Kluyveromyces lactis: one gene and its partners. The protein of the gene in region 1 purifies or fractionates together with the protein of each later gene. This does not show direct contact. Links are inferred from orthologs where the notes say so. Each region holds a gene or a part of one and is shown in the gene's direction. Other genes may lie near its edges.

Region 1 (5,248 bases):
CCTTGCCATTATCTCATCTAGTGAAAACGTCGCTGCGCTCGCTTTGTTTTTTTTTTTCAAAGCTTAGTTTCCAAAATTAAGGTAGTAATAATAGCAAAAGCAATAGCATTACCTCATTGCCAATAGCAAAAATGGTGAAAGACACAAGGCACAAAGTACGGAGTCAAAAGGATGAGGTGGTAAATTCCTAATTCTTTGTAATTGGGTATGTTGCTATTAGGTAATAGCAAGGGTGTTTTTCGATTTCGAGAAACCTTGATTAACTAATCTGGAGCAATTGTATACGTAATGAATGATGTACCTTCGAAAACACACTAATACGGCCTGACTTCGTTGCTCGTCGCATCCTCGTATCTTCGATCAACAAAGAACCACAAGGAAGGTTTCTGAGTTTATTGGTGCTAAGTAGTCTTGCTTTTTCACCAGCCATTACTCGCCCCATTGTTCCGCTGAGGTTAAAATTAGATCGAAAAAAGCTCCTCGACAGATCATCACTGTCTCTCTCTTCCAACAATAGTAGATCAGTTCATTCCACCCTGGTGAATTGATGACAAGTTTCAGAGGGTATGATAATTATATCAATCATACGACGCAATTCATTTATCATCAGCCTTTCTATACATTTCGCGATCTCATTTGCATGCAGATGACATTATCAAATCCGAACAAGATGGAAGTCCGTCTTGAAGGATGAGGAGGCTGCAAAACTTTGAAAATATTTTGAGCATCAAAGCGCGCATTGCGGTGAACCGAGGTAATGTGACATTCCAATATCTTTTTAGAAAGGATTTATATCTGTCGTGGGCTGCTTGCAAGTGTCAATTCCTTCTCCACATAATCCCATCTTGAATACACCGACAGGACGGTTGACAATAATAGTAAGTCACGTGTTTTCTAACAATCACGTGATCGATTTTTCTCTTAAAGCTTCGGGTTCTCTTCGCATAACGCGTTACCCGCACTATCGGCATTTCATCGTAGCTTCTATCAAATTCCATTTTTTCTTTCAGCCTGAACATGTCAAGCAGAGGTTTCTCTAGAAAGGAAGCTTCAAAGTTTTTATAACATTGAAATCAGTCATGTCTCTTCTTTGATATAAATATACAAGCTAGCGTTCCACATTGATCAACCCTATTCGACTTACGGTGGCTCTAATCATTAGCTTTGTTTGAAAAAAGTACGCTGCCAGTCGCATTTAGAGAGAATTCGGACAAGGCGAGATTTAATAGGATCAAATACGTACTAGGGAGTTACAGAAAAAACTCATTTCCCCATATCCATATGTTTAAGAGATATTTATTACAATACCCACGTCAATTCCATACGGCAAGACTTCTAAGACAAGAGTTTAAGGATCCTTATAAGGTCCTTGGGATTAACAAGAACTCCAGTCAGTCCGACATTAAGAAAGCGTACTACAAGCTGGCCAAGAAGTATCATCCGGATATAAATAAGGAAGAAGACTCTCAGAAGAAGTTCCATGATTTGCAAAACGCGTATGAAATATTAAGCGATGAAGATAAGAGGAAACAGTATGATCAATTCGGTGCTGCTGCATTCAGCCAAGCTGGTGGTGCCGGTGGACCAGGCGGTGCCTATGGCGGTGCTGGTGCTGGTGGTGCACAAGGATTCGGAGGCTTTGGAGGGTTCGATTTCGGTGGATTGAACTTTGAAGATCTTTTCGGAAGTGCGTTTGGTGGTGGTGGTGGTGGTGGTGCCGGAGGCAGGAGAGCTGGTTCGCATGGAGCAGGATTTGGCGGTTCCGATTTTGTCCGTGAATATAAAGGTGAGAATGTCACTGTACCATTCCAAGTATCCTTCAAAGATGCCGTCTTCGGTGTGAAGAATGTCAAATTGAATTACCAATGCTACGATCCGTGTTCGTCATGTGATGGAAGTGGGTTGAAAGCTGGACATTCGAGAAGTGTTTGTCCTACATGTCATGGTACAGGTACTCAGGTACATGTAAGAGCAGGTTTCCAAATGGCCTCTACTTGTCAAACATGTGATGGTGAGGGTTCAACTATTAAGGACAGCGATAAATGTGGTACCTGTCATAGCCACGGTTTCAAATTGAATTCAAATAAAACTATCACCGTAGACTTACCTCACGGACTTCAGGACGGTGACACAATTAGAGTACCTAACCAAGGTAGTTACCCCGGTATGGCTATCGATCCGTCCATGAAATCTGAATTGCATTTAACCAGAGGCGATTTGTTGATTCGTGTCAGAGTCAGGAAAGACACAAGATTCCAAGTTTCAAATAATTACGACATCATTTACACTCAGGAAATCCCAATTACAACGGCAGCACTAGGTGGCGTCATTGAAGTACCCACCGTAGAGGAAGAAAAGATCAGATTGAAGGTCAGCTCTGGTACTCAACACGATCAAGTCATCAGAATTCCAAATAAGGGTGTCCCTCGTGGAGCTAGAGGTGACAGGGGTGACATGCTTGTCAAGTTCAAGATTGTTATCAAAAAACCAAAGGATGAAACAGAACGTTATCTATGGGAGACCTTGGCCCACTTGACCAATGATACCACTGCAAGAAGGACCATTACTCCCTCTGGATCGTCGGCTAAGGACAACTCTTCCTCTGCTGATAAAGACACAGTTGAAAACAATGAAGGAACCATCAAGAAATTGGAAAATTTCTTGTCTAACACTTTAAAGAAGATCAGAGGGGAATGAAATCCTTAAATCGCATATATGCTCTCCCGTCATACATTCCACCTTCATTCTTTCATAATTCTTTGATTGGATGAACTAATTACGACATTGGCATTCTCATTATTCATGTACCACTTACAGCAGTCATAGCCAGTAATTGCATATACTGCACATTATTTTATAAAACCCTTTAACATCATGTAAATACCAATTTCCCTATATATATATATAATTGCACTTAGCGCATAATACTTATCGTTTTGATATTCTCTTACTAGTTATCCCTACTTACCATATTTAGCTCGGGATTGAAATTCATGCCAATGACAACGAATGTTTTCAGTAAGGGTCGATATGCTTTAGTAACTTATTCTGACCATCGTTGTCTTCTTAACATTGTGACATTGAAAATTACTTTTGAATGGAAAAAGCATAATTATGTACAAAATTCATCAATTGAAATATACTGAAGATAAATTTCGAAGGACTTTTGCCAAGAGTTAAGAGACTATATCTACGACTTATCACTTCCGTACGACCCATTATAAACCATCCAATATTCCATGACATCTCCAGATTTGAGAAAAGTATGTTTACCCCTGTTTTCCAGGAAAAATCTTATCAGAATTTAAATTACTAACTATAATATGATTCGTTGCAAACAGTACATGGACAAGAAACTCATTCTACAGCTTAACGGCAATAGGAAAATTATTGGAATATTACGAGGATATGATGCATTTTTGAACTTAGTACTGGATAATCCAATACAGATTTTCGAAGAAGGAGAGGTCCAAATGGGACCCCAGACTGTTGTTAGAGGTAACTCCATTGTATCGATAGAACCTCTTGACAGTTTGTAAGAGCAGAAGGGAGACAAATACAACTCAATGTGTCGGAACACTTTACTTAGTGACATTTACGTACAATGAATTATGCTAGTAGAAAGGAAGGATAGATATGATAGAGCGCACACTGGTTACAACATCATTTGTCGAATCTGATTTGCATTTCGACACCAGCTTTTTTCAATCCACATTTCTCATAGAATCCAACATTACTTTCATCACAATCAAGAATAACTTTATAGCATCCATACTCGTTAGCTAATTTGTATAAATACTGAATTAATATCAATCCCAATTTCTTCCCCTGTTGATCTTTTCTCACTGCAATGTCTTCAATATGACCAACAAGCCCACATTCGTGAATAACTTTTTTCTCGACTAGCACGTTTCCTGTGGCGACAACTTCCCCATTTGTGTCAACGATCACAGTGCTATTGTACATAGGTATATCTCCTATCGTGACTGAATCCCAATGGTCTATTAGTGAATGGAATTGATCTTGGCTCACATCACCAACCATCGTTAGCACTTTCAGCACAGATGTAACCCCAGAAAAATCATCTTTCTTGGTTCTTCTAATTGTGTATCCTTCTGGTAATGACATGGTAAGAATTCCAATTAACGGCAGGATGATGGTAGAAATGAATGGTAATATCAATTGTTGATGTAACAAAGAGACTATAAAGGTTCTTTTATCATGGTTCATATTTAATCATTGTGCCTATACAAAGAATAATGCTGGAATTAGAACATAAGGAACGTAGACCATCGTTAGCGCCAGTTTGTCCGGGTTACTCAATGACACGTGATCGGTATTCATCGTGGCTGGATAGTACCCATAGGCCCAAACGTACCATATACAAAAACTAGTGGTGGTGATGACATTGAATGCATAGCATTTAGATAGACGGTCCACTGTGAATAAAGTTCTTTTGATAGTTTTTGACTTTGACAAGTTTAGCAGCTGGTATAAGCAATATATGGCCACAGGCAGTTGGAATAAAATTTCAATGATTGTCATATATTTGAGCCAGTTTGGAGGATTGGCAGTTAGAAAATCATTGAAATTATCAATATAACCATCTAGAAGTCCCTTAGTATATTGAAGATATGGAGGAAGTACTGCATTCGAATCCAAAAACGTAATGATTGGAATGTTAACTGCATACCAGATCTTCCATAGATTGATCTTCCATAGTTGAGTCTTTCTCGAATCACGTTGCTCTTTACTCATATTAGACCTTAGTTACCCTTTATATACCTTGGTCTCTTGAAGCGCTGGTTAGAGTCGGTAACACTACTCAAACCGATGAGGATTTTACTCAAGTTATATCGATTATTCTATCAGATGCTGAATTTAACGTCTTACTTGTTTATATTACCCGGATTTGGAGGGAATCTCATAGCAGCAACTAGACGAACGCCAAACCTGATACAAAGGTCGTGAATGGCTATACAACAAAGGGATTTATGAGAGATTCGTTATTAATTATTGTGGTACATAAGTGTCATATTAGGAACTAGATATTACTGAACACATAAGACGGCTAGAAGTAGATCTCCTTTCCAAACTTTGGTGTGAACTGGTGTTAGCTTGAAATGAATAAATGAAGTTTAGAATGATTCACCAGTAAAATCAGGGTTAACGGTTACAATTAGCAGCTGAAAGCAGATAATAAAAGAACATTTCGTGTAATTGCAGTTTCTGAAATTTGCAAAACCAA
Region 2 (6,150 bases), on another chromosome or scaffold:
CCCCGCTGTCAAGGTTTGGCAGAACCTAGCTTCATTAGGCCACTAGCCCAGCCTAAAACGTCAACGGGCAGGAGGAACACTCCCACAAGACGGCGTAGTATTCTCGATTCATAACCATTTTCTCAATCGAATTACACAGAACACACCGTACAAACCTCTCTATCATAACTACTTAATAGTCACACACGTACTCGTCTAAATACACATCATCGTCCTACAAGTTCATCAAAGTGTTGGACAGACAACTATACCAGCATGGATCTCTTGTATCGGTTCTTTTCTCCCGCTCTCTCGCAATAACAATGAACACTGGGTCAATCATAGCCTACACAGGTGAACAGAGTAGCGTTTATACAGGGTTTATACGGTGATTCCTACGGCAAAAATTTTTCATTTCTAAAAAAAAAAAGAAAAATTTTTCTTTCCAACGCTAGAAGGAAAAGAAAAATCTAATTAAATTGATTTGGTGATTTTCTGAGAGTTCCCTTTTTCATATATCGAATTTTGAATATAAAAGGAGATCGAAAAAATTTTTCTATTCAATCTGTTTTCTGGTTTTATTTGATAGTTTTTTTGTGTATTATTATTATGGATTAGTACTGGTTTATATGGGTTTTTCTGTATAACTTCTTTTTATTTTAGTTTGTTTAATCTTATTTTGAGTTACATTATAGTTCCCTAACTGCAAGAGAAGTAACATTAAAAATGGGTAAGGAAAAGTCTCACGTTAACGTTGTCGTTATTGGTCACGTCGATTCTGGTAAGTCTACCACTACCGGTCATTTGATCTACAAGTGTGGTGGTATTGACAAGAGAACCATTGAAAAGTTCGAAAAGGAAGCCGCTGAATTGGGTAAGGGTTCTTTCAAGTACGCTTGGGTTTTGGACAAGTTAAAGGCTGAAAGAGAAAGAGGTATCACCATCGATATCGCTTTGTGGAAGTTCGAAACTCCAAAGTACCAAGTTACCGTTATCGATGCTCCAGGTCACAGAGATTTCATCAAGAACATGATTACTGGTACTTCTCAAGCTGACTGTGCTATCTTGATTATTGCTGGTGGTGTCGGTGAATTCGAAGCCGGTATCTCCAAGGATGGTCAAACCAGAGAACACGCTTTGTTGGCTTTCACCTTGGGTGTTAGACAATTGATTGTTGCTGTTAACAAGATGGATTCCGTTAAGTGGGATGAATCTCGTTTCCAAGAAATTGTCAAGGAAACCTCTAACTTCATCAAGAAGGTCGGTTACAACCCAAAGACTGTTCCATTCGTCCCAATCTCTGGTTGGAACGGTGACAACATGATTGAAGCCACCACCAATGCTTCATGGTACAAGGGTTGGGAAAAGGAAACCAAGTCCGGTGTCGTCAAGGGTAAGACCTTGTTGGAAGCTATTGACGCTATCGAACCACCATCCAGACCAACTGACAAGCCATTGAGATTGCCATTGCAAGATGTCTACAAGATTGGTGGTATCGGAACTGTGCCAGTCGGTAGAGTCGAAACCGGTGTTATCAAGCCAGGTATGATTGTTACCTTCGCCCCAGCCGGTGTTACTACTGAAGTTAAGTCCGTCGAAATGCACCACGAACAATTGGAAGAAGGTCTACCAGGTGACAACGTCGGTTTCAACGTCAAGAACGTTTCCGTTAAGGAAATCAGAAGAGGTAACGTCTGTGGTGACTCCAAGAACGATCCACCAAAGGCTGCTGCTTCTTTCAACGCCACTGTTATCGTCTTGAACCATCCAGGTCAAATCTCTGCTGGTTACTCTCCAGTTTTGGATTGTCACACTGCTCACATTGCTTGTAAGTTCGACGAATTGTTGGAAAAGAACGACAGAAGATCCGGTAAGAAGTTGGAAGACTCTCCAAAGTTCTTGAAGTCCGGTGATGCTGCTTTGGTTAAGTTCGTTCCATCTAAGCCAATGTGTGTTGAAGCCTTCTCTGACTACCCACCTCTAGGTAGATTCGCTGTCAGAGACATGAGACAAACCGTCGCTGTCGGTGTTATCAAGTCCGTTGACAAGACTGACAAGGCCGGTAAGGTCACCAAGGCCGCTGTCAAGGCTGGTAAGAAATAAGTTTAACTTGATACTACTAGATTTTTTCTCTTCATTTATAAAATTTTTGGTTATAATTGAAGCTTTAGAAGTATGAAAAAATCCTTTTTTTTCATTCTTTGCAACCAAAATAAGAAGCTTCTTTTATTCATTGAAATGATGAATATAAACCTAACAAAAGAAAAAGACTCGAATATCAAACATTAAAAAAAAATAAAAGAGGTTATCTGTTTTCCCATTTAGTTGGAGTTTGCATTTTCTAATAGATAGAACTCTCAATTAATGTGGATTTAGTTTCTCTGTTCGTTTTTTTTTGTTTTGTTCTCACTGTATTTACATTTCTATTTAGTATTTAGTTATTCATATAATCTTAACTTAACGTAACAACAACTTTCATTGTCAACAAATTTACTAATACTAATACGTATGGACTATTTGTTAATAGGTTGTGATATCCTTCTCTATTAGGTTATTACACATGCCATACAAAGCTAGTATCTATCGGCAAGCAATGGTCAGTACCTTATATCTGTCGAATCTACCGTCGAGGCCCGACTCATTGTCCAAATTCAGAGCCTTACTACTATCAAGTGTTAATTCAGATCATCGTTCTATTTCAAATGATGTTAGTACAAGATTCGATCTGAACTCGAAGAAAGAAACTAGTGAGGCTGATGCGGTTACACCAGTACTCGATGAAAAGTATCAGATCATAGAGGTATCAAGGTATGGCTCAAGACCCTTGAGGAGGTCTTGTTTCGTCACTTTTAAGGACTCAGACAGTTGTAATACGTTCCTTATAGAATTTCAAGGCAAGCTCAAGATTAATGGGAGAAAGATAAATATAAAGCTGGCGAATACGGATTCTTTCGCAGCTTTGTACTACCAGGGACAACAGAAACAGCTACAGGATGAACTTCGGTTACGTACACGTAAAGCTGTGGATAATTCACAGCCCAAGACCAAGACAAAAAACGAAGTGTTGAAAAGAAGGTTAAGAAGAGCTAGAAGTAAGCTTAGAAAGAAGGATTTGGACGAAGAAACCATACAGAAGCTTCTTTCAAAGCCCAGAAAAACAAATCCTGAAGGTACCAACAAGACTGCTATGTCACAGCAGTCGGAGAAAGTTTCCTCCACTAAAAAAGTCTTTGACATTGTCGGAAATCCCCCTCACCATGTCCTATTGGTTCAAAATCTTCCAAAAGATGTTACTCAGCAAGAATTGGAAAAGTTATTTGTCTCAGATGGATTTAAAGAGGTTAGATTGGTCAGTGTCAGAAATCTTTGCTTTGTTGAATATGATTCTACAGCAAATGCCACTAAAGTTGTTGAAACCTTAGGTCATGATCATCCATTCAAGAATGTAACGATAAAGATTGGATACGCCAAGAAATGATTCTACATTTCAATGCGAATCAATAAATTCAAAGCGTTCACAGGTCGGAACTGGAACCAACAATCTACGCTTTAATAGTACATTTATCAGCAACAGATAAACAGAATAAATAGAATAGATTGAATATAAATTATTTACAGTCAGTGTATGGAGGCCTGTACAGTACAGATACACTAGAAACGAAAAAGACAGAAATGATATATACATATATGCATACGAAGCTCTAAAACCCTGAAACCGAAATTACTTACCAAATACGACAGTTCTCATAGCTGTAAAGAAAGTTTCCTTACCCTTACCTTCGATTTCGTCATGCAATCTTTTGTAATAAATTGGGTTACCTGCTGGCTTGTATAATTTGTCCCCTACAGCATAATAATTCTTATATTTATCGCTCATTATAGCATTCAACGATCTTATCTGTTCTTGGATTTGAGTATCGTTGAAATGTTCTTCTGGTAAAGCCTCTTGAACTTTCTTTAATAGATCTTTCTTCAAACCTAATGGGCCAGAAGTTCTGTTGATAATATCCTTAATCTCTGCAAGAGAAGGCTTACTTTGCTCAGAGGCACTACCGGTTTCTATTCCGGCAACTGGACGGAACCTATCTAGTTGTGACTCTTTGAATGAAATGAGATGCTTAACACGCTCCTTAGGGAACTTCTCTAACAGCTTCACTAATTGCTTAGCACTTTCTTTTGTTGCTTGCGACATCTTTGTTTTGTATCTGTGCTAATATGGATTGTAACTCGCTAGTTTAGATAGAGTCTTTGCTGGCATGACACAACCGTATCTACCGTCAGATATGCAAACCAACTTTCTTGTCATTATATCGATTCAATCCAAAATTTTCGTTTTTTCTTGATGCTCTAAGTCAGAGGATGAAATTAAAAAAAAGAAAGATCTCAGAGGTTCAAGTAGACTTCGCTTCTAGCGACAGGTAATTTGCATGCTACCTGGAGTGCCTTCTCTGTAGTTTTGCTTTGTTACACATTATTGGAATAGTACCAGATTTAATATTTAACGTGAAATACTTTATTAATATTTAAGCGGGGATTATTTACATTTCATTCATCCTCTTCGAACGGAATTGAAGCAGAAGAGGAGCCGATATTTATGTAAACGTTTATTCTGATTCAGCTTGAGAGTTGAATGGGGCCAAGTCCTTGGTACCTTCTTCCCATGAAACACCTTGATAAGTGATTTCACGGATAGCCTTGATGACGTCCGCGACGGAACCTCTGACTTGTTTGGTAGAGTCTCTTTCTCTCAAAGTGATGGAACCATCAGTGACGGAATCAAAATCAATGGTGACACCGAATGGAGTACCTAATTCATCGTTACGGGCATATCTCTTACCGATAGAGACACCAGATTCGTCAACCTTGAATGGGATTTGTTCCTTTCTCAAGATTTGTGAAACTTGGGCAGTAATCTTCGATAATTCTGGGTTGTTCAATAGAGGAACCAATAGAACCTTGGTTGGAGCAACTAGTGGAGGGAATGATAACACGGCTCTGGCAGTGTCTTCTGGTCTGCTCCAGAAGGAGTGTTCGAAGATGGAATAGATGATACGTCCGATACCGAAAGATGGTTCGATGACGTTTGGTACGAATTCTCTGATATGTTCGGTGTTGGTGACCTTTTCAATAGAAACCATCTTGTCATCAACTTCAACGTCACCTTCCATACCTTCAACCTTCAAAGTGATCTTACCATCTTTCTTCAATTGAGCAGAGTAGGATTCTAATTCTTCTTGTGAAAATGCTAGTAAACGGGCTTCCACTTTTGGAGCATCTTTTCTGAATTTAGGACCGAACAACTTCTTGACCAAGGTGGCTTCCCATTTGGTAACTTCAATTGGGGTTTCCAAAGCTTCTCTAACAACCAACTTTTCCTTTGTCTTGTTGGAGTGAACAGTCAAATCGTAAGCGGATCTGTCGGCACAACCAACACACTCAATCCAACCATAAGAGGTTTGCAATTCAGCATCCCAACAGTCAGCAGCGTAGTGAGCCATTTCATTGGCCATGTGTTGTCTGAATCTTAATCTTTCTGGGTCAACACCAATCTTGATCAAGAATTGGTAAATTCTGGCAATGAAGTAACCCAAGGTTTCGTTATCGACTAACTTAGTGGCAACGGCTTCACCAACGGTTTTCTCTAGTGGCACAGTGGAACCAGATTGTTGGACTTCACGAGGCAAAAACTTCAACTTGATGTCCTTGATGTCTTGAAAACGCTTGTGAGACTTGTCATTTGGATCAACGAAATGTTCAATTTCAGCCATCAAAAATTCACGAACTCTCAACAAACCAGATCTTGGGGAGATTTCGTTTCTGAAAGACTTACCAATGGAGGCAGATGCGAACGGAGTTTTACCGTTGTTAAATTCCAACAATTTGTTAAAGTTCAAGAATTGACCTTGAGCAGTTTCAGGTCTCAAGTAACCTTTGTATTGACCGGAAGGACCGATAGCGGTTTCGAACATCAAGTTGAAAGCTCTTGGTGGTTCCAATTTGTCACCAGAGACTGGGTTACCGATGTCGTATTTCACCATTAATTCACCCAATTCAGCACCAGAGTAACCATCAATCTTGGCTAGAATTTGTTCATATTCTTGCACAACGGCGTCATCTAATTTGATGGCCTTGATTTCCTTGACCTTCTTCTTTCTCTTCTTCTTTTCGGCG
Region 3 (7,222 bases), on another chromosome or scaffold:
CTCTATATCAGAATCAGATAGAGGAACGTCTTCATTAATTGAGTTCTGAGTGCCATTGAACTTCGTTTGTTTTGGCCTTTGGGACAAAATTTCGTAAAGTTCAGAGTCACCCTCTTCTACTTCCAGACCGATAGCTGGCTCGCTGTCTGAATCCACTATCGGATCATCTTTGAAATCATGGTTATCTGGTAAAGTAGAGGGGTCCTCGTCTAGGAGCGACTGCTTCTGCAAAGATTTCAGTTTTTCCAAGTTCCGTTCATTGGTTAATGCTAAATTTTCGCTCTTAGAATCATCTAAACTAGTCGTTAATTCAGAAGTTGCATGCATCATCCTCATTTCACCACCAACTCTTTCCAAGATGTCAAGATCGTCTATCGTCAATAATCTCCTATACTTAGACATATAATCATTATATTGTTCTGTGGTAGGTTTCAACGAATCAATATAATATTTCAAAGACTTCGCCTTAAATGATAGGAATTTACGTATTTCAGGACCAAAATAACTCCCATAAAGAACCGCGTCTTTGGTGGACCACAAGGAGTGGTATTTGTAAAATTCAACAGCAATGAAATCCTGCAATTGAAATTGAAACCTCTTTTGTTCCTGAACCATCTTATACTCTCTTGGAAAGTTTGCTTGACCATGTACGCTGTGATTGGAACTTTTCACATCGCTAGAAATATTTCTAACTTTCCCAAGACAATAATACAGAGGTTCTTCTTCTAGAGGTCGTAGTGTGTCCGTTATACTCAATGTGTCCACAACATCTGCAGCATAGTGCAGCGGGAACTGTGATTTGTTTAATTTAGAGAAATTCTCCAGGATACCCAATTTGAACGTGTCATTGGCAATTGTTCCGCCGTCAACAAGCTCATTTATCATATACCTATCATTTTCATTATCCTTCGATCCATATATTACCTTACCAATACCATGGAAATAACTTGTTGAACTTTCTCTCGTGAAAATACTATTAGTTTCATCAAAGCTAGAAGTGCACCAGAATTGTAATGCCGCGATGCCAGATCGAATATCACCTGTACTAGATGCAAGGTTCTTAATGAAAGTGCCACTTCTTTGGTATTTCTCTGAGGGGATTTCTCTTCTAACTTTCTGTATTATCTGCTTTAAATGCTTCGTCATTAATGTTGCATTGATGGGATTAAACTTAATTCGATGCAACAACGGGTGCATCAAGATATCTTTGCCCAAGATTGTTTCTGAAATGAAGGTAGAATCTATTCCAAATGATGAATTAGTAGAATTCGAGTCCAGTAGTTGACATTCAGTAAGACAAATCACCAGTGGTGGTAGACGATCAGAAGCAAAGAGCCACGAGAGAATACTCTCCCTGAACCTTTTCAACGTTGACTCGTGGAAAACATTCGGCAGATCTTCGACAAGAAGTACTGACAAATTCCTACCGATTAAGTACTTAGATTGAAGCAAAAAATCATCAAACGACTCAGATGGTGAAACGCTACTCATATCTGTAAGATATTCTGTAAAATTCGGAACTTCCCTTCCACTCACTGTGAGTCCTGACGTAGCTCTATAACGAGGCACTATCTCATCGCTTATAAGCTTAACACAAGTACTTTTAGAACAACCTGCAGGCCCACTTAACAGAAGAATCCGTTCATCTGATTTCCCTGAGACCATACCCTCTAAATAATACCGTACTTCCTCTATCTTCTTCTTATGCAATGCGATGTCATCAACTCTCTTCGGACTAAATTTGTCATACCATTGCAGCTCACTTGGCAACGTCCGTTCTCCACTAGGTCGTGTCAAATCCACATGATCCAAATTCGTGTAAGGAAAGGAAGGAACCGACGTAGATGATCGTTTCACCTTCTTATCCTTTCTTGGGGATGCTCTGCTTATCCTATCGCTGATTTCACTGATAGATCGTTTCAAACTAGGAGTTGACATGCTATAACATCATTAAAATTCCTCAATTTATGACGAAAATAAATGTAATGTCGTTTAGTTCAATTCTGCAAAACGGCCGAGCTCCGTCTTGGCGAGCTATTCGGTATATAATTTGGTATTAAGAGTAGTTTACCTCTCTTCAATCTGTATTCTCTTATATTGAGTGCTAATCTCTGACTGTGGAAATATCTAGCTTACCCGCACATTGAAATTAAGCATTCCATTTGATATTTGCTAGTCGAATATGAATTATATGAATGGAATAACATCGTATAGCTTAGATGTGGTATCTAAAATGCACATAGAGCGAGTTGAAATCAAGCAATAGTCAGTACTGATAAGGTACATACTTAGACAGAGAGATGACCGAAGATGCTAAAGAAAGAAAGCAGAAAATCAAAGAGATTTACCGTTATGATGAAATGTCAAATCAGGTACTACGCGCTGATAGAAGTTTGATAGAGAACAGGACGGATGTGCATCGTGATGCGGAAATATCACAGCCGAAGTCTATGTCTGGTAGAATCAGGCTTACTGAAATGGGATCTGCCGTTAAGGAGAACGGATTAGAAGATAACGAGCGTGCTACAGCAGAGAAAGAATTCGAAAAGCGTATGAAAAGCTCATCGCCTCAGCAGACGAATAGCTCAAGGCTGGACAGAACCACGGTACTTGACGATATAACGTCTTTGAACTACATACCGACTGATGATAGAAATACTGAGATATACGATGAGATAACTACATGGTGTTCTGAGATACTCGGTGATGATATACCGCATTCCATTATAGTAGACGCAACAGATTTGATAATAGTAACTTTGAAGCAGGATGAAAGTGTAGACCTAGAGAGCAAGAAAAAGACTATTGAAGTAGCTTTGGATACTGAATTAGACAACGCTTCATTCAACTCACTTGTAAAGCTCGTGAAAAGTATCTCTGATTACTACGCAGAATCCGCCGATACCGGTAGAACAGTAAATGTAGCGATAAATCCCAATGAAGATGATGACGAAGCAGAAGAAGAAGAGGAACCAAATGCTCTACTAGAAGCTGTAGATGACGTGGCAGGGGAAGAGGCCGATGAAGAAGCGGGTTATAATGAAAAAACAGACAATAGTAATGATAATTTTTCTGTACGAAGTGACATAATGAATAATTCAGAATCTTTGCAAATACAGAGTGCAGCTGTCATGGAAGAAATAATAGATATCAAAGATATTGATGGATTTTATCTTCAGAGGAAGATCAGGAAACAACTGAAAAATATTGAAGAGACAAAGGTTCAGGAAATGGCCAATAACGTATACGACCTGCTCGCAAACGACATCTCTGAAGAGGAACTGACCCAAAATCTCCACGATATTTTCGGACCTGATGCGAAACAATTGATTAGGCTAATAGTCTCAAATAGGGAGACATTGTACTGGGGTCACAACTTACAGAGGTCTGCGAACGAGAACATTGACGAAATTCTAGGGGAAATGGCACAAAGAAATTTATCACACTTGGTAGAAGCATATAAGGCGAAACCTGATTCTGCTAAAAGAAAGTTGAATTCAGAGCCAGAAGTTGGAACCAAAAAACAAAAAATAGAAGCTGAAGATGAACCCAAAGTAATTGCCCTCGATGACCTTAAATTATCGCAGAATACCAAGTTTTTGTCAGACGTGAAAATTTCGTTACCTGAAAACTCATTCAAAAGAGTCAAAGATAGCTATGAAGAAATTCACGTTCCCCCGCCCAAGAAGGTTGATGACAATTTCCCGCTTGTACAGATCGAGAGCCTACCGAAATGGGCTCGCAGTGCTTTCCCTACGTCTGAAACGACTTCACTAAACAGAATTCAATCTGAGGTCTACCCCACTGCTTTCAATACAGACGCTAATGTATTACTATGTGCCCCCACAGGTGCTGGTAAAACTAACGTAGCAATGTTGACTGTACTAAGAGCAATGTCCCATTACTATCGGGAAGAGAGAAATGCCTTCGATTTGAAAAAATTTAAAGTGGTTTATATCGCACCGCTCAAGGCATTGGTACAAGAACAAGTCAGAGAATTTCAAAGAAGGTTACATCATTTTGGAGTGAAGGTAGCAGAGCTTACAGGTGATTCCAACTTATCTAAGCAGCAAATCGAAGAAACCCAACTCTTAGTAGCAACTCCGGAAAAATGGGATGTAATCACAAGAAAATCAACAGACACTAGCTTTCACAAACTCGTACGTTTGATCATCATAGATGAGGTCCATTTATTACATGATGAAAGAGGTCCGGTCATTGAATCAATAGTAGCAAGGGTTCTACGGGACACAACGGCAGAAATTCCTACGAGGCTTGTTGCACTTTCTGCCACTTTACCAAACTACATTGACGTGGCCAAGTTCCTTCATGTTCCTGATAATGGCTTATTTTATTTTGATTCAACTTTCAGGCCATGTCCTTTAGCACAACAGTATTGTGGCATCACTGAGAAAAATGCTTTAAAGAAGAAGAATGCCATGAACCAGGCATGCTATGATAAATTATTGGAGGCCGCAAAAGAAGGACACCAAGTTATCATTTTCGTTCATTCGAGAAAGGATACTGCTAGAACTGCTAGGTGGCTTATTCAAAAACTTATAAATGAAGATAAAATAAGTGCGTTCCAAGGTACCGATAAAGGTTCCTTGGAAATCCTCAAGACAGAATCCAGTAATGCTACTGATAGATCGCTCTCCGACCTTATACCTTATGGATTCGGTATCCATCATGCAGGCCTTACAAAGGATGATAGATCTTTATCCGAAGACCTTTTTGCTGATGGTTTGCTAAAAGTTCTTGTTTCCACAGCAACTTTAGCATGGGGTGTTAACCTTCCTGCCCACACTGTCATAATTAAAGGTACAGAAATGTATTCACCGGAGAAAAGTGATTGGGTCATGCTTCCCCCACAAGATATCCTTCAAATGTTAGGAAGAGCTGGTAGGCCGAGATACGACGTAAATGGTGAAGGGATCATTATTACAAACCAATCAGACGTACGTTATTATCTCGCTGTGTTGAACCAACAACTCCCTATAGAATCTCAAATGATTTCAAAAGTTGTTGATAATCTTAATGCTGAAATAGTTCTAGGTAACGTCACCTCACTAGATGAAGCAGTTAACTGGTTGGGTTATTCCTATTTATCAGTACGGATGAAGCAATCACCTCATTTATACAACTTGCAAGGTTCTTCAGGAGACATGAGTGATGCTGAGCTCATAAGAGTCAACAGAAATATTGTGCATACGGCGTTGAATTTATTACAGAATAACGGTCTTGTAAACTATGACTCTCTTTCTAAGTCGGTACAACCAACTGAGCTAGGTAGAATATCCTCTCATTTCTACATAAGTTATTCGTCAATTGCAAAATACAACCGGGAGTTAACAATAAACAGCACTTTGATCGACATTCTGAGAATATTTGCTATGTCAGAAGAGTTTAAGAACATTACCGTAAGACAAGAAGAGAAAACTGAATTAGAGAAACTCGTCGAGCGTTGTCCAATTCCGATCAAGGAGAAGGCTACTGATTCATTAGCCAAGGCAAACATTCTACTTCAGGTGTACATTTCAAAATTACGATTGGAGGGGTTCGCTTTAAATGCGGATATGATTTACATTTCTCAGAGCGCAGGTAGACTTTTCAGAGCACTCTTCGAAATGTGCTTAAGAAAAGGATGGCCAAGACTAACCAAGCTTCTGCTTACCATCTGTAAATGCGTCGATAGCAGAATGTGGCCCACGAACTCACCATTTAGGCAATTCAAGAGATGCCCTCAAGAAATCATAAGACGAGCAGAAGCGTCTGGTTTACCCTGGAACGATTTCTTACTGTTGAAGAATGCTCATGAGGTAGGCGAAGCCTTAAGATCTCCAAAAAATGGTAAAGTTGCTTTCGATTTGCTTCAAAGATTCCCGAAGATTGGCATTCACTGCGCAATGCAGCCAGTTACAAATTCACTACTTCGTTTTGAGTTGGAACTCCAACCTACATGGATCTGGGATCTGGATTCCAGCAGCTATTCTGAAACATTCCTTGTTCTTGTCGAAGACACAGACGGTGAACAAACAATTTATCATGAGACATTGCATGTTGGGAGAAATGCAATAAACAGCATTGTGTATCTTGACTTTGTTGTATTTTTGAAGCAGAAAATGTTACCGCCGAACTATTTTGTATCCGTTATATCAGAAAAATGGCTAAACTGTGAGTACAAGATTCCTGTTATTTTGAGTGAAATAAAATTACCTAAACCATTCCCTCCTGCAATATCTGTTTCTGATTCAATTAAGAAAAGTACCAAGGAACTACAAATTGATGAATTTGAGGCGTTATACAATTTCCATTCTTTCAATAAAGTTCAAACTGAAGTTTTCGATACATTATACCATGAAACTGAAAACGCACTAATATGTGCAACAAAAGGTTCCGGTAAAACAATAATGGCAGAACTTTCATTATTGAACCATTGGAGAGAAGGCAGAGGACGTGCGATTTACATTTGTCCATTCAAAACCAAGATAACTGAACTTCTAAAGAATTGGAAAAAGCGATTCTCACATTTGGCTGGTGGAAAACTGATCAATGCTTTTTCTGGAAATTTGCAGCACGATCAAAAACAATTAGCCCAATCTCATCTAATATTAGCTACTCCGAATGAATTTGAATACCTGTCTCGTCGCTGGCCGGAAAGAAAAAACATTCAAAGAATAGAACTAATTATTTGTGATGACATCCATGAAATAGGCAACGAGATAATTGGACCGATGTATGAAATCATAATTACGAGAATGATTTTCATTGCAACACAATTGGAGAAGAATATAAGGATTGTGGGGCTTGGAACCCCACTTGCCAACGCAAAGGATTTCGGAGAATGGTTAGGTGCAAAAAAATCAAGTATTTTCAATTTTACTGCTTTAGAAAGGCAAACACCCTTGACAGTCGATATCGAAACTAGCATTTTAGTAAAAAGCCCTACTTCTAATCGAATGGCCCTAACTGAGATCGTTGAAAGTAGTAATCGTGTCGCCTCACCCGATGAAACTATAACAGTTTTCGTCACTGACAGATATGAATGCGTTTCTTTCGCGACAGAACTCGTTGGTCTCGCTGTTGCTAAAGGCATTGATCTTCTTAGAGCAGAGGAATCCAGTTTACACTCGTATCTCAACAAGGTCCAGGACAGCAACCTCAAGACACTGTTGCAAAGTGGTATAGGAATTCTATACCAAGGTATGCATTATTCCGATAG
Region 4 (6,555 bases), on another chromosome or scaffold:
GTCACGGTTCGAAGTACTAACATACGATGAATGCTGACTGACTGATATTGAAGTTGTACTGATACAGGGTGCTGATGTTTAATATATATACAAATACATCAACTGTTTTATGGACATAATTATTCCTTATCTTTTGATTTTATTTTTGTTCTTGGTCGGTTGCCCTTTGCTAACGATTCTATACAGTAAGATTGGAAATACCAGCAAATGACATACTCCAATGATGCAGAATAATATTGTGACTTTTGCCAGTAGATAAGAGAACGTTGATTCGTTGAGATTTCTATGATCGACATCTAAAGCATGCAATTCCTGGCCAGAATCCGCACTGACCAACGAAAACAGGTCATCTCTACCCTGGGATAACAAATTGAGATCATCATCAGTAATCAAATCCCACTTCTGTTTCTGAATCAGATCATTAGACGTGATGCTAATTGCTACTTGCTTCACACTATCTATGGCATTCCATGAGGAGTCTAATGAAAAGTTGATAAGGCATATTTGGAAATTCTGATGTTCGTATACGCTCACGTAAAGCACAGTTTCCCCATTCTCTAAACCATGTCTTGACTGTACCAAATTTTGGTCTTCGTCATAAATATCCATGTTGACAACCTGTTTTCCCTTTGAACTCGTAGTTGGACCAAACCTATCCACATTAACTTTCCATTTAGTAAATTCTTCAATTTCAATGAGGAATTGTAAATCCTTGGCCTTAATATTCGTATTCATTTCGAAACAAGTTTGATAACTAGACGCGTCACTCGAGCCGTCAACTTCCCATTTTTTATATGGCCACAAATCGAATTCTAATCGATTTGGGTTTATCGGCAGTTTAAGGGTCTCCGAGACAACTGAACATATCAGTAAAAGGACATATATCAACGATATCACCATTTAAACAAAAAGAACAAAAAAATTACTAGCTGGAACGAAATGAACTGGGTATAATAACAAACGAAAAGACCACAATCTAATTACTGAAGCGAAAGCTGTGGATTAGACCCAAAAAAAAAATTTTGTCTGGCCGAATAAGAACACAAAAAGATATTGACAACACGTATGAAGCACTGAGAAACAACCTTAAAGGGAAAAAAAGAATTGTTTCGATTTGAATTGAACCTGATGCTTTATAGATGGAGACCAATCATTAACCCAGGCAGTTCCCACTTTTCCAACCGAATAATTGCTGTCAAAACGACTCTCTGTATGTTTTTCTCCAAAAGTGTTCTTAACATTTTCATGCCATGGCACAGTATATATGTCGATCATATCAAAATGAAATGAAATGTTAACGTGAACCTGATAGACTTTTTTCGCATCGACGTTTACAGATGGAAGAAAATGAATGCCACAGAGAACGGCCCAGCCTGCTGGAAACAGAAAAAGCTAAATGTTAAGAATGGTCTGTAGCAGATTCATTCCAGGGTTTTTCCCAGCAGATTACCAGCCCGAAACTAAGAGAAAGAAACCAGAACGGGTGCGTTTATTCATCTCTGAAAGTATACAGTTTTCCGAGGTCATACCAGCCCACACTTTTAAACATGCATTTTTGCTTTCATTCATTTTTTTTTTACTATACTTCAATATATGAGTACATTATATATATTTTGTTTGGAATGGGTTCATAAGTTAATGCTATTGGAACCAGTGGCATCAGCAGTATTATCTGAATCCACGCCAACGGTTCTCCGGCCTTGAGATTGCAAAGATCTTTTTAATTTTGTGGACGCCGATTGGATGTCACCGGAAGATACAGTGCTAGCCCTGTGCTGTTCTTCTAGGTCCAAAGCTTGTAGCCTTTCGTTATAATTATCCAATACTTTTCCATTTTCCGCTAATGAGTCTTGGAATACTTGCAAATCCTTCTCATCAATATCATCATCGGAAAAATTCCCTTCCGCGTCCAATTCTTGTCTGTTCAATACCTCTTCACCCTTAAGCTTGGCAACGTACGCTTCTAACCTTCTGTTAGATCTTTGTAAATGCTTCACTGCATTATTGATCTCTTTTCTGATCTCTTGTAATTCATGCTCAGACGATTCTCTAATAGCAATCACGAACTCTTGAATCTGAATTGGTCTACGAATACCAGAAGAATGTGCCATATTTCTATGTTAAGTCTATCCTTAGCTATGTATGTTTTTTCACTTTTTAGTCTTGTTTCGGTTGGAAAGTACGAGATGAATTAAGATCGGTATCCTTAACTATATATTCAAGCTAGCCTTTTATAACAATAATTTAAGCCAGAGTTTATTCTCTTACTATTTATACCCAACGGTAAGATATCACGCCCCACATATGACACCCACCCCTCCGAGGCACCATCATTGCAAATCAGAGTGTATGATGCGCACGTTACTATGCTGACTTTTTCCAGCTCCAAAGCAACACTACTTGTTAAAAATCACATCAGCTTTTCTGCTTTCCTTTCTCCTGGGCTGGATTTCCCCGCCTAAGTCCTTCTCTGGGAACTGAACTTTGTCCCTTTCAGCAAAGAGTTGAGAAACTCACGAGGAACACAAAAACAACGAGAATTAGGGGCCGCTTATGTAATTCTTTTCATCCCATAAAACAGAAAAATTGTGCTGTTTTGGCTTCCACCCATACACTACGCACAATCAGGGGTTGGTGCAATTTCGGATATATTACCCGGGCATGGTGAATTTCATCATAGGCGTTACAGAGTGAAGATGTGATTCAGATTCTATATGAGAGAGAGTTCATTGCGATGCTAGAGAAGAGATGGACAAAAGACAAATGGTGATGTGTAATAGTAACTACGGATTGTCTGGAATAATCGGCCCTTTGTACAAAAATCATATCATCATATAATGGGCAATGATAATAATACTAATAGAGGGTTAAATCGGAAATTGCATTCTGCATTGAGTGTTGAGAATGTCAATTTATTGAGATTTCAAGGTAGACGTTGTGGAAACCCATACTTGCAAGACGTACAGGCTCATGGTTTTGAGCCAAAGGCAAGAGTATCGTCTCATTGGTATGAACCGGGAGAGGTTGTCCAGCATGCTGCAAAATTAAGACAAGAGAACCGTGAAAAGTCTGAAGAAGAAAGAATACGATGGGAAGCTGAACTGGAGAAACAGCAGGAAATCGAACGGAAAATAGAAATAGGGGAACTACCTGATAAGCATGAAGAAGTTTATTTTACCGATTTATCGGACGTTCCTGATGTGGAATGGTGGGATGTTCCATATATCAAAGATGGTAGCATCCATGAGAAATATAGTTTGGATTATTCCACATTGAATTCGGACGATGAAAGTGATGATGAAGAGGAAGAGGAAGAGGAAGGTGCACAAGATAAATTCCCAAGTATTAGGTATATTCAACATCCGGTACCGATTGAAAGGCCTAGGGCAGCTGTTCCAGTGGCAGAGATTTTCTTAACGAAAAACGAACGGAAAAAGGCCAGAAGGAATACGAGGAAGTTGGTACGACAGGAGAAGGAGGAGAAAATCAAGCTTGGTATAGAACCAAAACCAGAGCCCAAGGTTAAATTATCGAATATGATGAATGTGTATGAGAATGATGCCAATATTGCGGATCCAACTCAATGGGAATCCATCGTACGGAGACAAGTGGCAGAGAGGAAAAGGAAACATTTCGAAGAAAATGAAATAAGGCATCAAGAAAGCCTGAAACGAAGGAAGGAATCCCAGTTACAAGCACACAGCAATGATAGTCCTCTAGAATACACGTGTGTTGTTTACATGTTTGACGAAATACAGAATCCTAGTATCAGATACAAAATCAAAACCAACGGTAAGCAATTGAAGTTGAAAGGATGCTGTCTACACATTCAAAATGGCAAAGGTATAATTGTAGCTTTTGGAGATGAAAAATCTATCCGCTTTTTCGATAAGTTGGTGACAAAGCGAATCAATTGGTCGGAACCATACAAAGATAGAGATACCGAAGAGACAGTACCTTGCGACGGTAAAATTACAAAGGTTTGGCAAGGATTAATTGGTGATTGTAGATTCAAGGGCTGGTTCATGCTCGATTGTAAAGATAAAAACCAGTTAAATAATATCTTAGAGCAGCACGATGCATTGACTTTTGTACCATTAGGTAAGTTTTAACAAACAATTACGTACTGAAAATGAAATCCAAGTTCGAAATCATCAAAATTTTGGAATAAAAGTAATAGTGTATGTTAAAAAAAATAAAACCGGAGTAAATCCAACGACCTACTTAGAACATTTATTTACATGGGGTGAGTAGGCAGTCCAAGTGACGCACAATGGTCAACATTATTGAGTTTTATCACTACCAACATCAAAAAAAAGTCATATTTATATAAATAATATCTCCCTTCGTCTCTCAAAATTCAATCATCAATAACAGAGAAAGATACTGGCTCATAACATCGTTCTTTAAATTTAATTCTGGTGTAACGTTCGAGACCTTTATTCGACGACCTTGGCCAAGATTTCAGAGTCTCTGAATAAAACGACTTCATCATCCTTGCCCAACTTGATTGTGGATCCACCGAATTGTGGGATCAAAACTTGGTCACCTGGTTGGACAGATGGTGTAATCTTGTTACCGTTGGAATCGGTGAAACCTGGACCAGCAGCCAACACAGTAGCTTGGTTTAATTTCTCAACGTTCTTTTCTGGCAAGTATAAACCAGAAGCAGTCTTGGCTTCGGCCTTGATTCTTTGCACCAGAACACGGTCCAACAATGGAACAATAGATTTAGCAGACTTCAATAGAGTGGACATTTTGACCTATTATTATAGTGATTACTTCTTAGGGGAAGAATATCAATCGAGGAGGATCAAGGATCTTGTACAAACGCTGACTTTGATATAATCTTGGCACTCTATTGTTGAAAAAATGTCGAATCCTTCATTTTGTAAAGTGTGTAAGCTTTATAGCCTTTTATAAATTTCAACTTTCATGTCAGAAAGGTTCCCGTTTTCGGTGATGCTAGAAAATTCCATGTGGACAGTAAACTACAAACTACTGAACATGGCAATGATGCGGGCTAAATGACTAGCTGGTAGTGGGCGCCGCTTTGGAGTTGTCAAAACAATATATAGAGCTTAAACAATGGTGGTTCACAGCATGTTGAAGTCACAATTCATAGGGCCTTATGTTGCCGGAAGGGGGCAGTAAGGGAGGAAAGGAAAATAAAATGTTGTCCACGTGACTTACAATTTTTTTTCATGAAATTTAATCACTCCGAACGTCTTTTGGCCCAAGTTTTCGAGGTGAAATTCGAAGGGATCACACAGAAGATGTCGCAGAATTTCACTCTTTTCGCATAAAGACACTGACCTTCCTCGAATGAGCTTTTAAGAATTAAAGGATTTCGTTCCAAGGTTAGCAAGTGTTATACTTGGTTTATGTGAATTTTTTTAACCCTTCAACACCGGTTAGGGCTGATTCCATTTCAATCATAAAAACTGTACCAAACACTACAATTTCATACATATTAATAATGGGTGCTGCTTACAAGATTTTCGGTATGACTGTTCAACCACATATTTTAGCCATAGCTACCTTGGGCTCTGTTTTCGGTGGTGCAGCTTACGCCATGTCTGGTTCTAAGGATGCTGAAAAGGCCAAGCCAGCTGTTGCTACTCCAGCTGCTCCAGCTGCTGGTGGTTCCGACGAATTTGACGTTGAAAAGTTGTTGGGTGATTTCTTGAAGGAAGAATCCAAATAAATTCAATAAAGATCAGGTATTTGAACTACCCCCCTTCTATAGATGACGATTTTTTAACGATATTCAAAATGAAACACGACCTCCTACACAGTCTCAGTATTAAAACAGTTTCCCTTTTTTTCATATACATATGTACATGTAATCTGATAATTATAGGATACTTAAAAGTTATTACATTGATTTGTGTTTATCTCAGAATAGATCGTCTAGACTTTGCTCGGAATCTTTTTTGATTAATTGGAGCATCCCTTCCGGTAGAATCGGCTGGCCATCAGAGTTGAATACATATCTGAATGGCATTTCGGTAGCTTCGTTCTTATTGAATCTGAATTCTGGGTAATCGATGAACTTAACGTCTTCAAATTTAGTTTGTTTCTCAATGATGATTTGGGTGGTTCTGATGGCCGTGTCTGTAGTCATTTGTTTGTCCCCTAGTCTTTTTCCGACGAGTAAGTTTGGGTATTGCTCCATAAGTTCTCTGGTACGGTCTCTTGGTGGATGATCTCCAAGAATACCTCCGAAGACGAAATAATCATAATTTTGAGCATCGGATGGAATCAAATCGGTCTTTGCCCTTGGATCTAATAGACAGACTCTTTGAGATTTTAGCTCTGGTAATTCTGGGAACGCTTCATTGATTTTATCAAGGTTCGCAGTGGTCCACTGCAATCCCATTTCCCTGAGCTTCTTTGGAATATCGGACTCAACGGTATCTTCTGGTAATGACGAAAGAATTAAGTTATCCTTGCCAATATCACGAATGATTTGAGCATACTCTAAAGTAACCCACTCACTGAATCCTTGCTCCATGTGCTCAATAATGTACTTCATACTTAATTTGCTTGCTC
Region 5 (6,959 bases), on another chromosome or scaffold:
ACCGATATTCCAAAAATCGGTCCTATTATCCCATATGTGCTAGCTGATTACAATACAGCTATAGATAAACCGATTCGTCCTCGTAAGTATAAGAAAAATGCCATTAAACGGAAATTGGCTTCTTCGATGACTTCTACCAGTGACGATTCCAACGAACAGCAGCATCTGTCAGCAAATTCGAACAATGGGTTCATCCCGTTGAAACAGAGGGAACTACAGCCGGTGTCAGCTGAAACGAGTGGTGATTCTGAATCTGAATCTGAATCTCCTGCAGAACCGGCGAACGTAGATTTGGATATAGATCCAAATCCAGAATCGGATGAAGTTATGGCTTCGGCTCCAGTGGCTCATGCATCCGGTTCGGTCTCTGGTCCATCTGGGATGGCAGCAGCTGCTGCAGCTGCTGCATCCCTCGACCAAGAGATTACTTCGAGAATTCACAAGTTCCAAATCGCTGATTTGGAAGAAGTGCCTCATGGGATTGTGCGTCAGGCCAACAACTGGAAGGATTATCAATTCCCGGCTCATAGACTGAAACAAAGGTTAAGAAACTCAAATAAATTGCCCTTGGTCATTGTTGCTTGTGGATCGTTCTCTCCAATCACGTACCTTCATTTGAGAATGTTTGAGATGGCATTGGATGCAATTTCTGAACAGACCAGATTTGAAGTCATCGGTGGGTACTACAGTCCCGTAAGTGACAACTATAAGAAACCGGGATTGGCACCAGCTCACCATAGAGTGCGTATGTGTGAATTGGGCTGTGAAAGAACTTCTTCATGGCTCATGGTTGATGCTTGGGAATCGTTACAACCAACTTACACTAGAACGGCAATGGTGTTGGACCATTTCAACGAAGAAATTAATGTGAAACGGAAAGGTGTCATCAAAAATGACGCCGGAGAAAGAATGGGTGTTAAGATCATGCTTCTTGCCGGTGGTGATTTGATAGAATCCATGGGCGAACCTAACGTCTGGGCAGATTATGATTTACATCATATTTTGGGTAATTACGGCTGTCTCATCGTGGAAAGAACAGGTTCAGATGTTCGTTCGTTCTTGTTGTCTCACGATATCATGTACGAACACAGAAGGAATATCCTTGTCATTAAACAGTTGATCTATAATGATATCTCTTCCACCAAGGTAAGGTTATTCATCCGACGGAGAATGTCGGTTCAGTATTTACTGCCAAATTCTGTCATCAGATATATTCAAGAGCATGGCTTGTACGTAAACCAAACTGAACCAGTGAAACAAGTTATCGGTAACAAGGATTGAGTGTGACACTAATTGTTCTAATCACATATTCTCCTTCTCCTTTCTAGACTCCTCCCTGGTCAGACTCACGTGATGTCTTTAACTCGAAGATAATATACACACAAATTGTAACAGTTTTTAGTTAGTTGAAATCCTTTTTATAATAGAAGTTCTTAATCAACAATAGTATTTGTCGTCTAGCGAAAGTTGCGCATGCTGTTATCCTTTGATCTAGCTCCGTAACGATGACTGCTGCAGACAGATGGAAGGATTATGCCTGTGTAACATCCCTTTTCGTGGCTGTTGCATCGTTATACTATGCATATAAGGTTAAGACAACTACATTAACTGCTCTATCACCACCAAAGGATGGAGTGGAAGACTTGATAGGAAATACACCAATGGTAAGAATTAAATCTCTTTCCGATTATACTGGTTTGAACGTTTTTGCCAAAATGGAGTTAAATAATCCAGGTGGTAGCGCAAAGGACAGAGTTGCCTTGAATATTATCAAAACCATCTCATCGCAGGAAGGTATTAAGGGTTCAAGTGATAAGAAAAATAGAATCTTTGAAGGAACAAGCGGATCTACAGGTATATCCCTTGCAATATGTTGTAACGCGTTGGGTTACTCATGCCATATCTCGCTACCGGACGATACAAGCCAAGAGAAACTTTCTCTTTTAACTGCACTTGGTGCAATAGTGAACAAGGTAAAACCTGCTAGTATAGTGGATCCGAACCAATACGTAAATGCAGCTAAGTCGTGTTCAGAAGAGTACACTGAGGGTGTTGGTGTATTTGCAGATCAATTCGAGAACGAGGCCAATTGGAAATGCCATTACGAAACGACAGGACCTGAAATTTATCTACAATTAAATGGGGAAGTGGATGCATTCATCACGGGATGCGGTACTGGTGGTACCATGGCCGGTGTTTCTCGTTATCTAAAGGAGAAAAGAGGTGACAAAGTACATATTGTGTTGGCTGATCCGCAAGGCTCGGGTTTCTACAATAGAATCAAATACGGTGTCATGTACGATAACGTAGAGAAAGAAGGAACAAGAAGAAGACATCAAGTGGACACATTAGTGGAAGGAATTGGTCTTAACAGAATTACAAACAACTTTCTGAAAGCGGAAAATTATATAGATGATTCCATCAGAATTACAGACGAGGAAGCTATTAAGATGGCCAAATTCTTATGTGTAAATGACGGATTATTCGTTGGTGCCAGTACTGCAATCAATGCAGTCGCAGTGCTGAAATATGCGGAAAACTTACCGAAGGGTTCAAATGTTTGCATCATTGCATGTGACAGTGGCTCTAGACATTTAAGCAAGTTCTGGAAAGAGGCCCTGCAGGTGAGTAACGATCTTTCAATTTCAGATATCATATAAATAACGTACAGTGTGTTTAACTTTGGTCTTTTGTAAATATCAATTAATTGGAAAAATCTTGAAATATATATATCGAGAGAGTAGACGTAAAGTTTCAGCGATGAGTTAGCAAATAAACGCTGATACTACTAGGCCGAACGTGTTTAACTCACTAATGGATACTGTATTGTTTGTGTCGCCCACATTATACTGCTGTGGAGACACGAAGAACTGGCAATCACAGGTGCCGAAGCCAGGATATGTGCCGATTTTGAAGAGTGATATCCCCAAATTTGAACAGTCGTTGAAACAAGCCAACAGCCATAGAGACCATGATAAAGGGAATTCAGTAGCCTCGAAGACTAATGAAACGGACAATTCTGATGAATTCAAGACTTCAACTTCACGCTATGTTGATTTGAAGTCCTTTTTACCAATTTCGTTAGAACAACAGTTGCATACCGTTTGTTTAGCACATTTTCCACTGGGACTTGGATCCAAGGGTATTGATAAAGTTATGGACAGACTAGACAATCTAATACGGAAAAAGCTGCAAGTTGAAGATAATGAGACCAAATTTATCAAACAATGGAGTTACGTCGATTGTGTGAATACGTTGACGGTATATATAAGTTTCCAGGAAAGTATAGTGGAAGAATATGGGAAAGCGATACAGTTACTTGAGAAATTGTTTGACAACGGGTCAGATGGGATCGGACTTCACATGGATGAAAACACTAGACGGTTCGTTTGCGATCTGACGGAAGGTTCTCCTGCTAAGGAACTCGATGAAACTGCAAAAGATGAGTTCTCCGCATTAATTACAATGTTGAGATCTGAACCAGGCTCTATATCTCAGGAGAAAGGGTTGGCTGGAAATAGTGCCGTTGAGTATAACGTGGATATAAGTACGTTGAGTGACCTTCCGAGTTCCTCATTAGACCAATTGTGTAAGGATATTGTTGAGTTTAGAACTCGTGTCATTACGTTAGAGAAAGAGAAACGGAATAAAGAGCTAGCGGAGGAAGAAAAACGGAGGAAACAAAACTTGAAGCATATATTTGACCGTATCAAGGTTACTAATGGAGGCTCGGAAAAAGGTTCAGCCCCTGAAGCTGAAAGTGACTCTGAAGATTCAGACGACGAGGTTGAGGGTTACGATGATGAAGATGCGGACGATTACGAAGCGGAAAAAAAAAGAGTTCAAGCGGAAAGAGATGCGCAAGAAGCCCAGTATGAATCCATGGTTCATAGTTTCCAAGATTCGTTACTGGTCCAATACTCATCGCTACGACAAGAATACCAAAGGTTACAAAACTACGAAACGCATTTACAAAAGAACAAAGGTCCTATGTTAAAAGAGTTATTACATCTTGCCATGGATCCTTACCACGACCATCACAGGCCATACAAGGAATCTGAATCCAAGGCAGATGAAGAGGACCGTAAACGGGAATCTGAAGAAGTACCAAAGAAAAAAGCAACAGAAACAGAGCCAGAGACAGAACTAGAGCTAGAGCTAGAGCCAGAGACAGAGACAGAGACAAAATTGGTATCGGACGCAGATGCGACAACGGCTGCACCAAAGATTAAATTAGCACTAAAGAAATCCATTGGAAAGACAAAGAATGAGATAGAAGAGGAAGAGACTCCTGAAACCGATGCGTTCCAACAGAAGTTGAATCTACTAAGGGAAAGCGGCGTAGTGGAAGAACTCGTCAAAGAATACTTGGGAGTTTACGAGCCCGACTTAGTCTCATATATCTTTGAAAACATCGAAGAACATCAATCGAAACAGGCACTCGAGACTGAGCTTACAGAGACGTTCGACGAAGATAGCCCTGTCCTAGTGAGCCGTATATGGGAAGCGATGGAACAGTAGTGGAATATACCATACATGTGAATATACATATATATGTATATGTAGGTATGTGTGTCACATGTCTAATAATGAGATTCTATTACCCGGTTACGTCTCACGTGACTGTCACGAAATTTTTTCGCCCGATTCGAGTGTTCCAGCCAGATCGGGCGGTAACATGAGGTTACTAGAGGTCCGGGTAATCGTGTTTCATATTGATTCGCGTTTTGTATATCGTATATAGCGATACATTCTCAACTTCACCAATTTTTTACCAGATCCAGAACGGTTACAGGAAGAATTGGCAGGATGAGATAAACAAAGGAACAAACATAGAGATTCTATTACTTGTAACTTATGTACACACCTGATAATGGTGGAATTTAGTTTCTGTTTTCGTTCGGGTTGCTTTAGGCAAAAGATAATAAGTTTTTAGATTCGAGATTTATCGTCAGGGTCAAACTTTTCAACAAAGAACGTTACCAGTGGTAATATTTTGGTGTATACATCTTTCTTTTCTTTGTGTTCCTCCATTCATTCATTTATTGATTCATCTCAAATTACTTATAAGTTTTTTATACATTTGATAAGAAGGATCTATTAGAGGTTTTTAATAAAGAAAGATTATCAGAACTGACCTACTGATCCAAATTACCTTCCAATCCTCAGTCTTTAGGAAACTGCCATCGTTTGTTTAGTGAGCTTATACTTTGAACGTGACAAGAGCTTCAGGCAGGTTGAAGTGTACTATCGATCTCTGTTTTTTTTTTCCCCGTCCCATTGTTTGGTGATATAAAATTATTACTTATTATTACGGATTGCCGGTTTGTCATTAGAAAACTTTGAGAATCTCAGGTTTGAACTAAGGCCTTCGGCAAAACTTTGATTACTTTTCCAACTATTTTACATTCTTTTTTCATTTGATTTCATTCGCTTAACACGATGCAATTTTCCAATTTAAGGTTTTTGTTAACCGTTATATTCTTGGGCAACTTTTTAGTATCTGCCCAAGGATTCCTGGATTTTTTCCAGACTTCTCGTTCTGATAACTCTACTAGATCCATTCAGAGTACCGAGACCAGTTCCAGCACTGAGAGCAGTTGGAAAACTACTTTGAATTACGATTCATTGACAGTGGCAGAACCATCCACGTTCTCGCTTTCTTCAAGCACGCACTCTAAGAGTCGTACGAGAAATGGTAATGGCGATGATGATTCGAGTAGTACTTCAGGTACCACTTCTGTGTTGACTCCTTCATCGATCACCTCTTCTGCGATCTCACGTTCTACCAGTGGAAATGGTATCCCATCTTCTGAATACTCGGCTTCCTCCTCGAGCACTGCAAGCGATTCTGCTAGTGTAACTACTCTATCCGGTTCCTCCGCTCTTTCTTCTGAGACTACCTCTTTTGGGACTTCTTCAGCTGAAGATTCTTTTGTTACGACAACTGTTACTGAAACAGGTTCTGCTGAAAGCAGTAGTGATACAGCTTCCTACATCACCGATTCTGCTTCTCAGGTTTCTTCTTCATCAGTCCTCTCGTCCGTGGAATCCTCTTCTACTGAACCATCCACTTTTTCTGTTGTAACATCATCAATTGAGCCTTCTTCAACTGAACAAATTACTTCTGATGAAACGTCCTCAAGTGATGGTGGATATTTCGTTACAACTTTCACTTTCCCTCCTGTTACTTCTTCAACTGAATATTCCACTTCTGATGAAACGTCCTCAAGTGATGGTGGATATTTCGTTACAACTTTCACTTTCCCTCCTGTTACTTCTTCTACAGCATCTGACGAATCTATCCCATCATCAACTACCGATGAATCCACTGGTATTCAATTCCCCACTTCGCGGTCCACAGATGTTTCTTCGACTACTGATGAATCAACTGGAATTTACTTCCCTACCTCAAAATCAACAGAAGTTCCTATATCCACTACTGAGTCCACTGATAATGATTTCTCCACTACAGAATCAACAGAAGTTCCTATTACCACCACTGATGAATCAACAAGAATTTCTCTCTCCACTACAGAATCGACCGAAATTCCTACCACTACGGAAGAACCAACTCCTTCTACTACAAGTGCCGACATCGTGGAACCAACTACCACTGAAATTCCATTAAGCACTACTAGTTTGGAACCTCTACCAGAAAGCAGTACCTCAGAATCTATTCCAGAGCCTTCAACCAGTACTATCCTCACGGAGGAAACATCATCATTGCCAATTGAAACTTTATCGACTTCTGAACCATGGGCTACTGATGACATTCAAATCTCTTCATCAGTGTTACCTCCATCTCAAGATGTTGTCTCATCAGAAACAGTGGTTAGTACATCTGCTCCATCAACAGATACTGAGACATTGGCTCCAACAAGTGCTACTACATCACTTCCAAGCATTGTTACCAAACCAATTGAAGAACCATCATCAAGTACAAGCCAGGTTGGAAG

Evidence for each region.
Region 2: the proteins of SMX2 (region 1) and MUD1 purify together in Saccharomyces cerevisiae (affinity purification with mass spectrometry; 4 studies listed by BioGRID). This does not show direct contact. The link is inferred for Kluyveromyces lactis from reciprocal best matches to the Saccharomyces cerevisiae genes SMX2 and MUD1.
Region 3: the proteins of SMX2 (region 1) and BRR2 purify together in Saccharomyces cerevisiae (affinity purification with mass spectrometry; 5 studies listed by BioGRID, with this or other methods). This does not show direct contact. The link is inferred for Kluyveromyces lactis from reciprocal best matches to the Saccharomyces cerevisiae genes SMX2 and BRR2.
Region 4: the proteins of SMX2 (region 1) and PRP3 purify together in Saccharomyces cerevisiae (affinity purification with mass spectrometry, with the first as the bait; 3 studies listed by BioGRID). This does not show direct contact. The link is inferred for Kluyveromyces lactis from reciprocal best matches to the Saccharomyces cerevisiae genes SMX2 and PRP3.
Region 5: the proteins of SMX2 (region 1) and SNU71 purify together in Saccharomyces cerevisiae (affinity purification with mass spectrometry, with the first as the bait; 3 studies listed by BioGRID). This does not show direct contact. The link is inferred for Kluyveromyces lactis from reciprocal best matches to the Saccharomyces cerevisiae genes SMX2 and SNU71.

Annotation. Positions count from the first base shown.
Region 1 is NC_006040.1:656,898-662,145, forward strand, and holds SMX2 (mRNA splicing protein SMX2), read left to right. Parts: upstream 1-3,239; coding exon 3,240-3,263; intron 3,264-3,341; coding exon 3,342-3,539; downstream 3,540-5,248. Other genes in the region: MDJ1 (Mdj1p), read left to right, coding at 1,282-2,697; GNA1 (glucosamine 6-phosphate N-acetyltransferase), read right to left, coding at 3,664-4,230; EMA19 (Ema19p), read right to left, coding at 4,246-4,758. UniProt on the Saccharomyces cerevisiae protein: Plays a role in pre-mRNA splicing as a core component of the spliceosomal U1, U2, U4 and U5 small nuclear ribonucleoproteins (snRNPs), the building blocks of the spliceosome.
Region 2 is NC_006038.1:783,429-789,578, reverse strand, and holds MUD1 (Mud1p), read left to right. Parts: upstream 1-2,539; coding exon 2,540-3,457; downstream 3,458-6,150. Other genes in the region: TEF2 (translation elongation factor EF-1 alpha), read left to right, coding at 706-2,082; CBP6 (Cbp6p), read right to left, coding at 3,701-4,171; GRS1 (glycine--tRNA ligase), read right to left, coding at 4,584-6,150. UniProt on the Saccharomyces cerevisiae protein: Involved in nuclear mRNA splicing. The principal role of the U1A is to help fold or maintain U1 RNA in an active configuration. It is the first snRNP to interact with pre-mRNA.
Region 3 is NC_006039.1:1,581,280-1,588,501, reverse strand, and holds the start of BRR2 (ATP-dependent RNA helicase BRR2), read left to right. Parts: upstream 1-2,300; coding exon 2,301-7,222. Other genes in the region: RAD24 (Rad24p), read right to left, coding at 1-1,938.
Region 4 is NC_006041.1:825,407-831,961, forward strand, and holds PRP3 (U4/U6-U5 snRNP complex subunit PRP3), read left to right. Parts: upstream 1-2,837; coding exon 2,838-4,112; downstream 4,113-6,555. Other genes in the region: RRT6 (Rrt6p), read right to left, coding at 127-900; TMA17 (Tma17p), read right to left, coding at 1,629-2,111; HSP10 (Hsp10p), read right to left, coding at 4,440-4,757; MCO10 (Mco10p), read left to right, coding at 5,480-5,707; protein-arginine N-methyltransferase SFM1, read right to left, coding at 5,900-6,538.
Region 5 is NC_006039.1:1,597,530-1,604,488, reverse strand, and holds SNU71 (Snu71p), read left to right. Parts: upstream 1-2,814; coding exon 2,815-4,521; downstream 4,522-6,959. Other genes in the region: nicotinamide-nucleotide adenylyltransferase NMA2, read left to right, coding at 1-1,281; MCY1 (putative cysteine synthase), read left to right, coding at 1,506-2,660; MSB2 (Msb2p), read left to right, coding at 5,443-6,959. UniProt on the Saccharomyces cerevisiae protein: Component of the U1 snRNP particle, which recognizes and binds the 5'-splice site of pre-mRNA. Together with other non-snRNP factors, U1 snRNP forms the spliceosomal commitment complex, that targets pre-mRNA to the splicing pathway.